Linked DNA regions of Arabidopsis thaliana. The protein of the gene in region 1 interacts with the protein of each later gene in a pairwise test. Each region holds a gene or a part of one and is shown on either strand. Other genes may lie near its edges.

What was found.
Region 2: the proteins of AT2G25890 (region 1) and AT1G34640 interact in a protein complementation assay, tested with the Arabidopsis thaliana proteins (one large-scale study listed by BioGRID).
Region 3: the proteins of AT2G25890 (region 1) and RUS3 interact in a protein complementation assay, tested with the Arabidopsis thaliana proteins (one large-scale study listed by BioGRID).
Region 4: the proteins of AT2G25890 (region 1) and EMB3135 interact in a protein complementation assay, tested with the Arabidopsis thaliana proteins (one large-scale study listed by BioGRID).

Annotation. Positions count from the first base shown.
Region 1 is NC_003071.7:11,035,392-11,038,735, forward strand, and holds AT2G25890 (Oleosin family protein), read left to right. Parts: upstream 1-1,911; 5' UTR 1,912-1,968; coding exon 1,969-2,493; 3' UTR 2,494-2,788; downstream 2,789-3,344. Other genes in the region: AUR2 (ataurora2), read right to left, coding at 59-155, 248-343, 425-520, 617-763, 854-961, 1,407-1,619.
Region 2 is NC_003070.9:12,686,992-12,690,512, reverse strand, and holds AT1G34640 (peptidase), read left to right. Parts: upstream 1-1,969; 5' UTR 1,970-2,085; coding exon 2,086-2,327; intron 2,328-2,716; coding exon 2,717-2,807; 3' UTR 2,808-2,961; downstream 2,962-3,521. Other genes in the region: AT1G34630 (uncharacterized protein), read right to left, coding at 3,078-3,374, 3,445-3,511.
Region 3 is NC_003070.9:4,719,756-4,725,065, reverse strand, and holds RUS3 (root UVB sensitive protein (Protein of unknown function, DUF647)), read right to left. Parts: upstream 3,493-5,310; 5' UTR 3,350-3,492; coding exon 3,228-3,349; exon of another isoform or gene 3,119-3,227; coding exon 3,061-3,118; intron 2,981-3,060; coding exon 2,921-2,980; intron 2,845-2,920; coding exon 2,806-2,844; intron 2,716-2,805; coding exon 2,653-2,715; intron 2,553-2,652; coding exon 2,496-2,552; intron 2,384-2,495; coding exon 2,320-2,383; intron 2,225-2,319; coding exon 2,141-2,224; intron 2,049-2,140; coding exon 1,966-2,048; intron 1,876-1,965; coding exon 1,746-1,875; intron 1,671-1,745; coding exon 1,578-1,670; intron 1,456-1,577; coding exon 1,317-1,455; intron 1,246-1,316; coding exon 1,202-1,245; coding exon of another isoform or gene 1,101-1,201; coding exon 913-1,100; intron 820-912; coding exon 721-819; 3' UTR 551-720; downstream 1-550. Other genes in the region: AT1G13780 (F-box/RNI-like/FBD-like domains-containing protein), read right to left, coding at 1-293, 374-385; AT1G13760 (uncharacterized protein), read left to right, coding at 3,965-4,103, 4,643-4,701.
Region 4 is NC_003076.8:3,829,749-3,833,660, forward strand, and holds EMB3135 (harpin-induced protein), read left to right. Parts: upstream 1-1,751; 5' UTR 1,752-2,021; coding exon 2,022-2,885; 3' UTR 2,886-3,403; downstream 3,404-3,912. Other genes in the region: AT5G11880 (Pyridoxal-dependent decarboxylase family protein), read right to left, coding at 1-194.

The DNA.
Region 1 (3,344 bases):
GCTGGTTGCCGAAGAAAGTAATTTAGAATCACACAAGAGAGAGAGAGCTTTCTCTTACCCATCTCAGGTGGAAGGTAATCCAAAGTGCCACACATAGTCCTTCTACGGTTGAATGTGTGTACTGACCATCCAAAATCTGCAATCTTGAGCTCACCCTGAAAACATATATCCATGAATACATAAACACATAAGCTAACTGCAATCACATGGCGTTGATGGAGAAAGATAACCAGATTCAATTTGTTACCTGAGCACCAATCAACAGATTTTCAGGTTTTATATCTCTGTGAATTACATGCTTTCCATGGCAATAGATGAGGGCTCTAGCCAATGACGCAACATACTGCCACAATAAACGTAAGGGTATGACTACACAGATTCACATTAACATGCTAGAATAAGTTCAATTATCACTAGGACTTACAGTTGCTGCTCGACGTTCGCTGAAGTACTTGCACTTCTGAAGCTCTTTATAAAGCTCACCCCTTACAGCATACTCCAAAATCAAATAAACTCTTTTCTGCAACAACGGTATCCCAAAAACTATGTTAACCTCACAGAGCCAAACATTGTATGTCAACAAGAAGTTCTTTTACAAGCACAGATAACACAAAACCTGATCATAGAAGTAACCGTAGAGCCGCAGAATATTGGGATGCCGAAGATGAGATTGAATCTCTACTTCCCTTCGTAACTGGTGTTCAACTTGAGATTGTTGAAGCTGAGCCTTAAAAAGAACCTTTAAAGCCACAATGTGATCGCTCTGTTTGCAAAGACACATAGAAGACAGCTTGGTTAAAAAAGACATCAAATTAATTCTGCTTGTTTAACATAATTGTGAAGAAACACTAACCCGTTTCTCTCTTGCTAGATAAACATGGCCAAACTTTCCTCTACCAAGTGGCTTTCCGATATCGAAATCGCTTGTAGTCCATCTCTTTTGTGCAGCCTCTGAAGCCGCCTGATACAACATTATCACAAAGATTGAAATCCAATCAACTCTCAGATACACTTAATCATAAACGACAAACAATCATTGATACTTTAAAACTTGAAGATAAAAGGATAAAATCAACAGCTCCTTAACACTAATCCACGGATTTGTCAATTAATCTAGGGTCCTCGCTGTAAACGAATAAATCCACAATCATATCATGAAATTTCTCAAAATCATACCAACAAGTCTTTCTCAAATTAAACAGAGAACATTGAAACAAGATTCTTTCTGGCGCAAAGAAAATCAAGCAACCAAATCGATAATCCCAGATCACATTCCATTAGAACAGACCAAACGCAGAGAAAAAACGCAAACCAACAAGGAAGTAAAACCCTAAATTGAAACAAATTCGACAAAAGAACCAAATGAAATTGGAATTTGTGAAACCAAGAACAAGTTATTTTCTTACAATTTGCTGCGTCTCTGTAGAAATCCCCATGGAAGAGATCGTTGATGAGCCAAGATAGCGAGAGAAAGAGAAGAAAGAAAGAGAGAAGAGAGAGTAATTTTCACAAAGGGAACAGATCCAAATTGAGAAATTTAAAAAGGGGAAAAAACGTAAACCACCAGCAAAGCAGCAACGGTCGAATCCAGATGCTGCCACGTGTTGATACATCTGCATCGAGGTTTTTATTTTCAAATAATTTGTCTCCCGAGATGATACAGTCGCTACAGGCCCAGATATTATTAAGCCCACGGTATTCCAACTTCATAATCACTAGGATAATATACAGTCACTACAAGCCCAGATAATAGCCCAATAAGCTTCAAGATCGTTTGACGATGAGATTTTAATTCGGAACTAAGTAACCACGTGTCAGTACCTCGTCAAAGTAGCTCCATGCAGAACTGACACGCCCGCGTGACACTCTTCTCCATTGCCTAACACGCCTCGTCGTTCGACACATGTCTCGTTTAAGTTTAGCCTCTCCTTCATACTAGTCTATTTTCATTCTTCATAATAATCACAAATGGTAAGCTTATTAAAGCTACAAAAACAACATAGAACATTAAATCCATACTCTCTTAGAAAAAGAAAAAAAGAAATGGCGGATCATCAACAACATCAGCAACAACAACAACCAATAATGAGGAGTCTCCATGAATCATCACCATCGACTCGGCAGATAGTGAGATTCGTAACGGCAGCTACGATCGGCCTATCACTCCTCGTGCTCTCAGGACTAACACTAACCGGAACGGTGATCGGTTTGATCGTAGCGACGCCGTTGATGGTTCTGTTCAGCCCGGTGTTGGTACCGGCAGTGATAACGATAGGGCTTTTGACGATGGGATTCCTATTCTCCGGTGGTTGTGGGGTGGCAGCAGCTACGGCGTTAACGTGGATTTATAAGTACGTTACCGGAAAACACCCGATGGGAGCGGATAAGGTGGATTACGCGAGGATGAGGATAGCGGAGAAAGCCAAAGAGTTGGGACATTATACGCACTCGCAGCCACAACAAACACACCAAACCACAACAACTACTCATTAGAGTTTAATAATTATATGGATCTATATGTTGTATTAAGTTTTATGATTATCCTACGTATGTTTTTTTAATACTGTTCTTACCTTTTTGAAAAGATCTATCTAAAATTTTATTTTCTATTTTCCATACAATTTTTTGTGTGTTTAATTGCTGATCGGTATTTTCTGTTTTATGATTGTGAAATAGCTAGTGTAAGGAAAGATGATAACGAATTAAGTAAATTAATAAATGCCAATTACTTGGTCACCGTCTGGCTTCTAGAATTATATGGTGGCTTTCTTGGTATATGTAAATGTAGTTTTGAGTGTGGTCCGTTTGATTTGAAATAATATTGTTGTTTTTATGTTCAAAAAGAAAATTGCAAGGTTTGTGAATTTTGTGTATCAATACCAAGGCTTGAACCACTTTATCTATACTCGCTAAATAAATTTCGAAGGCTGCGCTAAATGGCTCGTGTCATTTACGTTGTCTTCATGAACGTATTGTAGTTAGTGTGATTGTAAAAATATTTCTTTGTTTAATCATTCCTCAAAAATTGTATTCGGCCTTTGAGAGATGCGGTGAGGTCGTATGCATGTTTTCCCAAATTTCGAATACTTGCAAACTGTTCTATGAATGTGGTTTTTAGGTACTCATGAAATAATTGAAAACTTTACTTGTCTATATGTTCGTAAACCATTGGCATTGAATTGCATGGCATGGCTTACTATGCGCGCACCAACAAAATGCACATGCATGCTTCACGAACGTATAAAGAAGCTGAGGGTGGACAACATTCACTGCTTGTAGTGGGCAATGCAGTCTTGTAGAGCAGTTGTACTTTCAAACGAGGTTCTTTGTCAACGTCTGATTGG
Region 2 (3,521 bases), on another chromosome or scaffold:
ATAATGAGAATCAAAATTTCTTCTTCTCATCTTTGTTTGTTTCTTTGGTCATTTTTAAGAGCTAAATCATCTTATCATTTGTATTTAAATTGTTTTTTCTGCATATATGATTCGAATTTATCAAAAACAAAATGTTGAAGATGCATCCAAAATAATTGAGAAGGGATTAAGTGATATTATTACCCAGGTCTAGTCGACTTAAATGATTTTCAAAAAATATGATGATCTGTTGTTCTTACAAACTCAGATTCCTAGCTAGTGTAGAGCTTCCAGAGTTCTCATTGTGTCTTGTTTGTGTCTTTACGAGAGGTTTGGAACAAATTTCTTGATCTTATCGTTAGGTTTGATCCCACACGCGAAGCAATATAAAGATTGTGATTTTTAGTATTGTGCAAGAATTCACAAAACACATAAAAATATCTTGTGATGATCAACAAGACTAGTAAACAAGTCTATCAACCTTACATGTAGAAGTGCACTGGTCGAATAACGAGGATGAGATTTGTAGGTCAAAACTGTAATTGATGGTAAATAAACATTGGCGATCATGATGTTATAAGGGGTATCAAAACCAAACTTAATTGAGTGTTTAGCAATGTGGCATCACAGTACCATTGGGGGAATCAGTATTATATTTTACTTTGTTACTGAGAAAATATTCAAATATTGGTTAGTAGATATAGACTAAAATAGTTACCGAGGAATAGATATTATTAAGATGTGACCACACTTTCTCATGAACTTTTGTAGCAAGTTCATAGAAAAACATGTGTAAAAGAAACATGGTGTTGCTATTTAGCCGCATATATATGAGGGCTTAATCTCGTCGCTATTTAACAATAGAAATAGTCGACGTCATTTGTTTCTACCAAGGGACTTAAACTTGTCCTTTGTCAATGCGTAGTTTTGTGGCTTCGGATTTTAAAAAATTGTTTCTGAATTTATATAGATCTAACAACCTTTGTAAGATTAATGCTTTAGATACTAATATACTATCAATGAAAAAGAGTATTTACTTTGTTTTCACATTTATAGGAAAAAATTAGAAATCTTCATTTACAAAACGACATTCGTAGTTTGAGGTTATTACTTTTTGGCGAAAAGAAAAGAAAAGTTTGAGGTTATTACTAACGATGCCAACTATCAAAACAAAATTTATGTTAGTAACCAATTATGTGGGTGTTTGGTTGAGTAGTAACTTTCCTTTTTACTGTTGTTCGGCAGTAGCTATAAACTTTTTGTTGTATGATTACATGTGTTGGTTGTAGATGTAGAGTTTGATTGGTAAAGTTAATTAAATATTGAGGATTCAAAATTTAAGTTTATCAATTTAAAATTATAACATAATATTAAATGAGATAACAAATAAATAATAAATAGTAAATTTCATATGTATAACACATTGTTTGGTCAATTTTATAATTTTTTTTACCTCAAAAATATGATAAGATTTTTTTGTTGTCTTATGTTTAAAGTACAACGTACTCATATAATCTTATGCTTGTGAAAGTTAAAAATAATTTCTGTCCCGCTTGATGATTATGTCATTTTATTCTACAAATTTTTTTTGGCAACCGATATTAATTAGAATTCAAAGAGTTAATCCGAGAGATATTGTTTATATATATGGTATGATGCAATTCGGTATAATTCTTTCATACCAAATTATCCGTTTTTACATTTACACTACAAAAAATTAAAAATAAAGAAAAGTTTGTGAATTCCTTCTTGTCATTCCAAAATTTATCTTTTTTTTCCTAATTTTTCGGTATAATTCTAATTACTCTATGATCAAAACCATAAATAAAGATAAAACTGAACAAACACAAAAACTTGGATCCAAAAATACGGTTGGGACATTACCACATTTATGGCGGCATTCAATTCAATTGATTGCCACGCATTTTTCCAAAAGAATATACCCTATATAAAAAAATCCATTAAATATTATCTTTAACACATAAATGAAATCTTTCTCCTACATCCTACATAATCTGTGAATCTTCTTTCCATGTTTACACTGTTATAAAGCAACTTCAACTAATCCCGTTTTAAATATAAGCTATCTACTCTCTCTTAGCCATAATGGGAAACGAAGCAGCACTAAGATCATCAATGGTAGGTCTTGCAGTGGTGATGGTAGTTGTATGGTTATGGACACAGTCTTTAAAGAAGACGGTTGTTACTTACGCCGTCGGTATTTCTCTTATTGGCGGCATACTTTTGCCGGATTGGGACTTCTTTGATCGGAGTTTCTCTCGGTGGGGCTATCCTGTCACCGCCGAGGAAAGATCAGCCGCTCTCGCCCGCAAATCTCATCCTTCAAGGTTACTTGTTTATCTTATCTCAATATCAAACTAGTTGTTTTATCATATCATTATATATTAATCTTTGAATTATTAGATCTAAATTTTGGTTTAGCTTTATTGCCTTAAAACCTATTGGATAAACATAAATCATACATACAATTTTTTTTTTGTCAACCGATATTAATTTGGATTCAAAAGAGCGAATCTCAAACCATACATACAATGTTAGGTTCCATTTGCAATGTATGTATTATTGTATATCTACGAATTAGGTGTACAAGTTATGATTGAATTTGTTTATTTTCGTGAATATTTTCTATTGATTTTAATTGTTAGATCCAAATTTTGGTTTGGTTTACTGGCCTAATTAATGGATAATGGATACATCTTTGGACCAAGTAATGCAGGTTTAGAGTGTACCCTATGAGGATGGTTTTATACGGCACGGTCTATGGATATGCAGTGTATAGGTGGTGGATGTTCGTATCAAATTATTGAAGCCATATTGTATTTACTTGGTCCATCTTTTTTATGGTTTAGTGTTGTTGATTAACAAAATATTTAGCTTCGTTTTATTTTAACTTTGTAGAACATGTAAGACTACCAGATTACATATTGGTGTGTCCACATAAGATGGACAAAAATTGTCAAATGGATTGTGGTATACAAAATTGACCCAAAACAAAACTCCTAGAGACTCTAAATGAGCATTCTACCACCAAATTCTGTCCCACATCAGAAAGATCTTTAGGTTAAAAGTGAATGTCTCTAGGTTGTTTCGCAAGAAGGAGCAGGAGGGGGAGGAGGAACACCGAAGACCCAATCTAGTACGTTCAAGTATTTTGATCGAAATACGTCTCTTTCTTGTGCGTAACAATGCATTATAATGGCTGTCGAAACGCTGAACACAACCACATCCGCTCTTCTTAAACTCTTGGGCGGTCGAATGTATCCTGCCTCTGTCATGCAAGTAAAGAAGCTCTCTATCGCCCTCGCTAAGCAGTATAGTGATATCTCTATCCTTCTGCTTTTCTTCTCAATAGCTAAAGCCAGACCTGTTGGGAACTGCAGGAGAAGCCTAACGTTAGGTATTATATTAACAATGATATGTGATGAGAATGGCTTTCGTTTGTACTGTTGCTATGGCCACAAGCGGTATGTTGCATGTCTCAAAAGTGCGGAATAGTAGACAAGTCCAAGCCCTATTTTACA
Region 3 (5,310 bases), on another chromosome or scaffold:
TCCGAGAACTTAATGATCTTATCTCTACTGTAATCTACCTTGAATTTTTGAAGACGTGACTCATTGTTAAACTGGAGAAATCTGTCAATGAAATCAATCAACAGTTTTTCGTTGTTGTTCTGAAAGGGGAAATCACGGCAGTTCAAATCAAGTCCGGGAACATTAAGCCATAGATTCTTCCATCTAGTCGATAAAACACTCGTCTTCACAGAAGCTTTAGTCGGAAGGTGTAACAGTATTTGACTAATCAAAGATTCCGGCAATTCGCTAATTCTATCAAACCCAGGCATGACCTAATAGCATTAACAAACAATAAATTAATCGAATTCCAAAAACTAGGGTACAAGTGTCTGACTATAAACGAAATACTCACCGTGGATTCCATTCGCCGGCGGAATTATTGGCCGGAGTTGTGGAATTAGCTTCAGCTACGAGCTAAACGATGAACATGAAGTGATAATGAAAGAGAATCACAAAATTGAAGTATTTATACGTTCGAAGCGGTTCCGATTCCAATTTTTGCGTTTCCAAAAAAATAAAACGGTTGCCATTATTATAATTCTTTAATTTTCCATTAATAACAAACGTTATACAATGTTAAACCGACATTTTACGGTTAAACCGGTATCGGTTACATGTTTTACATGACTTAGAACTAACATATTTTTGTATGTTTGCAACGAGTTAACAAACTATTTTGATCTTGAAAGGCGATAAAGCTCAGTCGAACTTAGCAGCGGAAGTGTGAGATATCCAATTAGCTCTCCAAGTAATGGAAGGCGAAAGAAGACGCTCTGTTTTCCAACCTCCTGATCTCAGCTACATGGGAAACAACAGAAAGAAAAAGAGTGAAAACAGTAGCTTTAGTGTCATAAAAACACGGTTTAACTGGTCCTAGTGATTTAATCTTACCTTGTGGAGCAATTCGTCATAGTGTTTATCAATCCAAGCTTCTCCTTCTGAATAAAAAGATGTGCTCTTTTCCATAAGGTTTGCCAAAACAATGGCATGAATATATGATTTCAACACATCTGCAGGTTTTGAATCTTTGTGCAAGATCACACTAACATTTCCCTTTATGTGAGCCAATAAATACTTAGCTGCAGGAGTGTACAACAACAGACAAGAACCGAGCTTACGTCAAGTATGGACAGAGAAACTAATGTCCTTGAAAGATTGTGGAAAAATAAATCAATCAAACCATTCTTGTATGAAGAAGCTCCAACACCATTTAGCAGCTGCAACCTGCACACAAATATGTCAAGCTTGAGCCGATTCTTTACCCGAAAATTATGATAATCTAGTATAGAGCTTACATATCTAGACGAGGGAGAGAGGAAACTCTCACACCTAACTGCACTCTCTTATGCAATGGCTTTGAATTCGTTGACCTCAATGAAGTGGCCCACAAGGGCAATACACCCTCCATTGAAGAAACCTGTTCGGGAGAGAGAACTGGCAACACGTTTAGTTAAAGAAAGTTATTGGTATATGGTGCAATAATAAAGAGAAACCAATAAAAAACAAAGGAAAGCCACTGAAAACTTGAAAGAATCAATGGCGCATTTCGAAATTACCTTGGCCAGTTTGAATGAAATGTGTTAGAAGAATTGAACTCCTCTCAAAGTTTAATGAATTCAATACAAGACACCGGACAGCTCTATAGTTTGCTAAATATATAAGAAAGGCAAACAGTGAGAGAAATTCTGATTTGATCTATGCTTTAACCTTCATTTGTGACTTACCATACATATGAAACACGGTGAGAGAGAGAAACGAAAGCCAAATAGCCATAGGGTTTCCAGAGGTAAACCGAGCTAGCAACATTCCCAATGACATACCCATCATAGTTGCCATAGTCTCTTGGCTTCCTTCCTTTCAATAGATAAAATAGAAGCAAAGAATTACTCAAAGTTCACATTTATAGTTTCTATATCATTCACAGTGACAAGAAGTAAAGAGTACCTTAGCAGATATATCCGCTGCATTGTCTTGAAGAGCAAAGTGCTGTGTTAGAGCTGCTCTGGTTGCTCCACTTGCAACACCAGCTAATAGCCAAGATTGAAAAAAGTTAAAAACCGATGTATCAATCCAAACCGAAGTCTTAACTTCAATGTTTGATGCAAGAAATGATACGCACTAAATGATCTTGATAGGCTCCCTAAGCAAACCACAACGATAAAGGCAGATGGAAACAAAGGAGAAAGAAGGTCCATTAGCATTCCTGCAATAAAAGCAACAAAGCTTGTAGTCATTCAACTGAGAACCAAATACAGGCAATTAGTATCAAGTGTGATGTGACAACTAACTTTTACATACCAATATCATTCATAAGGTCAGCAACTAGGCGCCACATTTTTGCATTGCTATCCAGGTTGGAACCCTGAAGAACAGAACAGTTCCCATTAAATAAGAACGTAACCAATCTAAATCTTAAAGAAAAGGGAAGAGAATCGATGTGTATTATGATTGGGAAGAATCTGCTACATAGGCACCTGATAAAATGTGAACAATATACCTCCAAGCATCCCAGTAAAATCCCTCAGAAACCACTGCATAATACACAAGATAGAATCACTATTCTCCATTGCGCTTTATAGTTCTTGAGAGAACTAGTGTGAAATGTTATATGTAAGCAATGGAAAAACTCACCTGAAATGTAGCACCTATAACAGTTGCGGATTTCTCACCAACGCCAATTGCACTCAAAAGAGCCTGAAAATAGTCCAAATCAGAAATGCTGCAGCAGACAAATTGGACCAAAATAGAGAACTCAGAAGCTCAAAAACTTTAGCTTTAGCTCACCTGAGTGGAAAGCATCATCTTTGTATAAGTTGAGAGGCCCTGCAACAAACATAGCCGAGAGTCACAATTCAAATTTCACAGTAGCTATAAGGCATACAAGCATATTCTCACATACCTGTAATGTGTCCCATAACTGAAACCCTACATAATCTGGAGTTACACTGCCAGGAAAGCCCTGCACTAGACAAAGTACAATTCAGCCAAACCCTAATCCGGAGGACAGATTCTAAAGGGAAAAAGAGAGAAAACACTTGCCTCTGGTACAAATGCTTGAAGAACTCGTCTCCACACATGATTAAAGCGATTAGCAGACCTATGAATCACTCACAGGAGACGAAAACCCAAGAAAGTTTCTCAATTTTGTTGTGAATCCACTGAAACTATCAGATTTGGATTGATTTCAAAGAGGAATAAAGAAGAACCTTTGGATAGAGAGAGAAGAGGAGGCAGTGATGGTTGCTGTTTTGAATAGCTTAGTGGAAGAAGAACCATTCCATTCTTCAAGAGTAATCGATCCGCAATCAGAGACTTGTTCTTCTCTCATGGCGAATTTTGGCTTCTTACGAGTGAAAAGAATCACTTATTCAAATGTTTAGACTTTATGAGTGTTTTGGACTTTGTGTTGGGTTTCAATTGCAATTGAATAGTCCAATGACCCAAATGTGATTGGACTTTGGGTTAGTAAAAGGTACGTTTTTGGCAAACGCAGGTCACATGTCCACATCATAGTCTTCTTTTGGCTCCCAATTGGATTTCTAGATTTAGAAACACTTAAACCAACAAGTCACGGAAGTGTGTGAAAGGAATGTTAATGCTAATGATCACCATATCTTTATATGCTTTGTGCCTATGTTTCTAGGTTTTGATCATCAGTCACCAACTTTATAAATGTTGTTTCCTACAAGTTATCTCTAGAACACAGTTGTATCACATTCATCTTCATCTTCAGACATTTGTTTTCATGATCTTCTTGTGAGAAATGGGAAACTTGTTGATGTTTTGGTGACTCTTGTGTCAATTCAAGAGGGAAAATCTCATCGAAAGCAACCTTTGTCAGGAGTTGCAATTCATAGGACACTGTTTGATGTGAATGAAGAAGCTTATGTCAAAGCTTCTCCAACAGTTCTCGGATTTGATGTAAAGCTTTGTGTTATTTTATATGATAAAAGCTTTACATTGCACCTTTTTCTTTGTTTCTACAGTGCTTCGATTTGTCTTACAAGAGTTAAATATGTCGATCCACCTCTACTGTGTTCTACGCCTATCAAGGTCTTTTCCTCATCAAGGTTTACTACGAGGTTTTGTGCTTCTCTTCTCTGCAATGAGTCTTAAATTTCTTTACAAATTCTTTAAAGTTTGATGTGTTACTAGTTTCTCTTCTTGTCAGGGTCTTTTAAAAGTATATGCAAACATCATTGTATTATATTAGAATATATATATATATATATATAGTATTCAGATTCATTATTTCAACTGATTAGATCTATGGAACAAATTGAGAGAGAAGAAGACAAGATTCTGAATTTGAACAGCAGCTAAAAAGCAAGAACAAATTTGACTTTTTAATTCCCTCTCAGAAAAGAAATGACGAACCCAAAAGTTCTTTCTAACTTAAGAAAAACTTGAGCAAAACTTAAGCAAAACTTAAGAAAAATTTAAGAAAAAAACATTCCATTTTCTTATCAAATTAGTTCTAATATTATCGTAGCTAGTGCTCAAATATCACCTAGGTTCATAACAGAGAAAACACATGGTACATATTTGGATTTTGGCCACAACTATTTGAGAAAAACTGTATGTATGTATTCGGGATCACGCCATCCAACCATCCTTGCAGGAGCCATTAAACGGGACTATTCATGTTGTTGCGGGAGGTGGAGGAGCCAGTCTAGATGATTTCTCTTGCATGCAGTCCAGCTGGAGCCTGCTCGGCGACAAGGACTTTGGGTTCGTCACCTTAATTGTCGTCGATCACTCTACCATTCAGTTCGAGTACAGGAGAAGCAGCGACGCAGTCATCCACGACTCTTTCGAGATAGCGAGGGAGTACAAAGAGATACTGGCGACTTTCACTTTGTAGGATAGGGAGAAATTAAAATAAAACGGCTATCTATTTTTATTTTGGACGGTTAATTGGAATAAAAATATCTGGTTTATTTAATATTGTCTTTATAAGTAAGTATTCGTGTAATAAACGATTGGTCGATTCTTAGTTTTTACTTGCGAATCTGAAGAATCTGATGATCGATGACGAAGATGATTCACTAAAGCCTCTTCTTCAATTGGAAGGTTCTGGTTCAGTAAAATTTTCCGGTTAAATTACTCAATAAGACGGTTCAGTGGTTAAGTGGGTCGATGTCTATTACTTAAAATGGATCAAGGTTTTAGAGGTTTTAAATAATGGATCAAATTAATTTCGTTTCTGAATCTGTGTAATCTTTTGTTGTTTTCAAAATGTTTTAAAGTTATAAAGAGGGCACCGTGCCTGTAGCAACATGTAATGAT
Region 4 (3,912 bases), on another chromosome or scaffold:
GCAGATTCTTTCGTGAGGGTTTTGGTGGAGTTTTGGGAAACGGCGGCTTTGACGGAGAGGCGTTTAAGTGGCTTCAATGTTGACTTGAGAGACAAAAATGGGATTCTTGAGAGTGAAGTCTGATTCAATTGGTACTGATTTAGGGTTCCGCGGATTGATGAAGGTTGGGAGAGAAATTGAGTAACTGCCGCCATGGCTGGAGGATTTTTGTTAGGTGTGCGACTGTTACAGTAACACTGAAGGGTTTAGAAAAAAAAAGTCAACAAGTTTAAGAGTAGTTCCTGTCGGGTCCGGTTTTAGATATCCGACAATATCGAACCGGTGGTTATAGTCGAACCGATGGTTAAAAGAAGAAAGAACAAAGTCGATTTTAACTTCTTTTGGATATGGTTTTTGTCCTTGGGGGATAGTTTCTGCTAGTGTTTGTTTTGTTCGGTTGTGTTAGTTGTGTGTTGTAATAATCTTGATGCTTAAGGGGTCACCTAAAGCAGTCATGGAAATCTAGCCCTATCTATAAAAATTTGCCATTTCTCATCACCTACCAATACTTCTATTTGTTCGTATTATGCGGATATTCAGAGGATAATGTAAAACATTTTGTTGAATGCTAACGATGAAGTGCTCTATCTAGCCGTGCACGTTGTGGAGAAGTTATGTTTTAGAATCCACATTTGTTGAAGTTATGCTTATCATACTCTCTTAATTATCTATATCTATTACAAAGAGCAAGGAATGTTCTTAGTTAGGATTTGTTTTGTTTGGCAACCATTGCTTCTGGTTATTTGTGCTCTGCCTCCTTTGTAAGTTAGGATTTGTTTTATTCTTACAACTTTGCTTCTCTCGTCATACTATATAATCTCTGACTATGTATGTAATTGCATTCATGTCGATGGTTGTGGGATGTATATTTAGGTGTTTGACTGTAAGACGTTAAAAACAAACTTTACCATAAGTTATTGGGATGTCTAGACACTTTTATGGTTTGGTGAAGTAGGCTCAATGTTTTGCCCTTTATGTTTCCATTGTTGATGTTTATGTACCTTGCTGGTTGGAACCACTTGTGGATGTTTCCGACAATGCTTCTCTGTAATGCAGTTATCTTTTAATGAAATGTGATCGATCTTGAGTGTTATTTATTTTTATTTTTTTAAAGACTTTATGGTGTGGACACTTGACCGGGTGATAATTGGTAACTATACTACATAGTTAGAGAGCTCTTGAATTATTAATCACGCTAAATCTTGGGAATTGAGAGCTCGGAAGCAAAGGTTATTAACAAAATTCAAAGCAGAGCAGCATTGCCGATGAAATAATTATTGACTTGGGATTTACTCTCTGAAGTCTGAACCAAATCGAGATTATTCTAATTATATTTTTAATTTCGGATCCCTAATCTATTAATACTCCAATATCTGCACTCATTTAATTATTTCCTCTTTTTTTAACCTGCACTGACTTAAATTCAAACTTATTTCAATTGCGTGCACACTTTAGTGAACTACTACCACTATCACTATATGTGTCGGTGGATTATTATTTCCGTCATTTTGATATTTAATTACATCTTTAATTGTTACTCTTTTTTGCCCATTCTTCTTCTTCATTTGATTACATTATACTCTATTGTGAATTACTAAATTCTGAAAACAAGAAAAATTTGAGTACACAGGACACATCTTAGTATTACTCGTTACTAAAATACTACACGTGTAAATAATTTTTTCAGAAATAAATGGGGCCACTTTGTAAGTAATAAATCAGCTTACATTAATTATTTTACCACCCAATAAAAAGATTCCACAGACTTGGCATGGAAGTCATGAACATTCACAAAAATCTAAGAAAAACTGAAAACCGAAAAAAAAACAAATTATTAAAAAGCAATAAATAAATAAACTCAGAAAAAAAAGCTATTAAGATTCCACAAAAACTCTGTATTGTCTCTTTCTCTCTCACTATCTCTCTCTCTTTTGTGAGCTCAGATCTGACCAGAGAGAAAGAAACAACCGGAGAAGAAGAAGATGACTGACCGAGTCTTCCCAGCTTCCAAACCACCAACCGCCACTAATGGAGCTCCACCAGTTGGTTCCATACCACCTCCTCCAGCTCCGGCGACTGTAACCAGCAACGGAACAACAAACGGAATGGCTAATCAGAAACCTCAAGTCTACATTCCAGCTAACCGTCCGGTTTACCGTCCACAGCCTTACAGTCGCCGTCATCACCACCAATCTCGACCAAGCTGCCGACGAATTTGCTGTTGTTGCTGTTTCTGGTCGATTCTGATAATTCTGATCTTAGCTCTCATGACTGCAATCGCCGCCACCGCGATGTACGTGATCTACCACCCTCGTCCGCCGTCGTTCTCCGTCCCGTCAATAAGAATCAGCCGCGTGAACCTAACAACCTCCTCTGATTCCTCCGTCTCTCATCTCTCTTCCTTCTTCAACTTCACTCTAATCTCAGAGAATCCAAACCAACACCTCTCTTTCTCTTACGATCCTTTCACCGTCACCGTTAATTCAGCTAAATCCGGTACGATGCTCGGTAACGGAACTGTTCCTGCTTTCTTCAGCGATAACGGTAACAAAACTTCGTTTCACGGCGTGATCGCTACGTCTACAGCGGCGCGTGAGTTAGATCCGGATGAAGCTAAGCATCTGAGATCAGATCTGACGCGCGCGCGTGTAGGATATGAGATCGAGATGAGAACTAAAGTGAAGATGATAATGGGGAAGCTGAAGAGTGAAGGAGTAGAGATCAAAGTGACATGTGAAGGATTTGAAGGAACTATACCAAAAGGTAAAACTCCAATTGTAGCTACTTCTAAAAAAACTAAGTGTAAGTCTGATCTTAGTGTCAAGGTCTGGAAATGGAGTTTCTAGAGGGAATTTTGATAATTTCACAATTGAAATTTTCTATATAATCTTCTTCTTTTTTTCTTCTGGATTTTGTGAAACTTTTGGAATGATCCAAAAGGAGATTTCTTCAGTTGTTAGTTAAAAAATTTCAGAGAAGAGTCAGAGAGATAAGGTATTGTCAAGTAGAAGAAGGCCAGAGAATTCACGGCTTCTAAAAAAATTTCTTGGATTTTTGTTTTGTTTGGAACTTTCTTACTTGAATTTATATTTAATGGATACAGAAATATAAATGTAATACTTGTAACGAATGGAGTACTAAAAAGCTGGAGATTGCAGTGACTGCGTGATAGTGAGCATTAAAGTGAGATCGTAGTAGTAATAAACAGAACCTTAAAAATGGAAAAGATGCGTGGGGTTTGTGAGGAGAACAATGAAGAACACGAGAGATGTGTTAAATGTTAGATGTTGAACCATCTATCGCATTATACAACACCATTTAAGAGAAACGTGAATCGTCTTTAGTACTCTATAAAGCAAGCATATATTCTAGCAGTTGCATGTTATAAAATTAATACAGATCGATCACTCAATTCATGAATATGGTTTGATATAAACATTAAATTAAATGTCATGCTGTCATAAAAGATGAATTATATGGTTCATTTATCTAAGAAACTTTTTATTAACTAAGTAAGTAAAAGTTTGAAGAGGTCATTTGCAAGTGACTCCGACCAGGGATAGACTCCTGAAATCTTATCCAACTATGGACGACGACTTCATGTCGGTGTGTCCAAAAATGAGGAAAAGGAATCTGCCCAAGGGACAAATGGCATTACCCGAAACGGCAAAGAAGAACCGCAGGAAAAAAAGTTGACAATAACGTATGAGGTGTGACTGAAAAAGAAAAACTTGTAGTTTGGTTTATGACGTAAATGAATAATTTGGAAATGACAATAAGTCATCATATCTAATTTAGTGCATGACCTCCAACGTCGGCATATATTTGAGTCGGTGACCGGATATCCAGTACAAAGTAAAGTACAAACCAAAA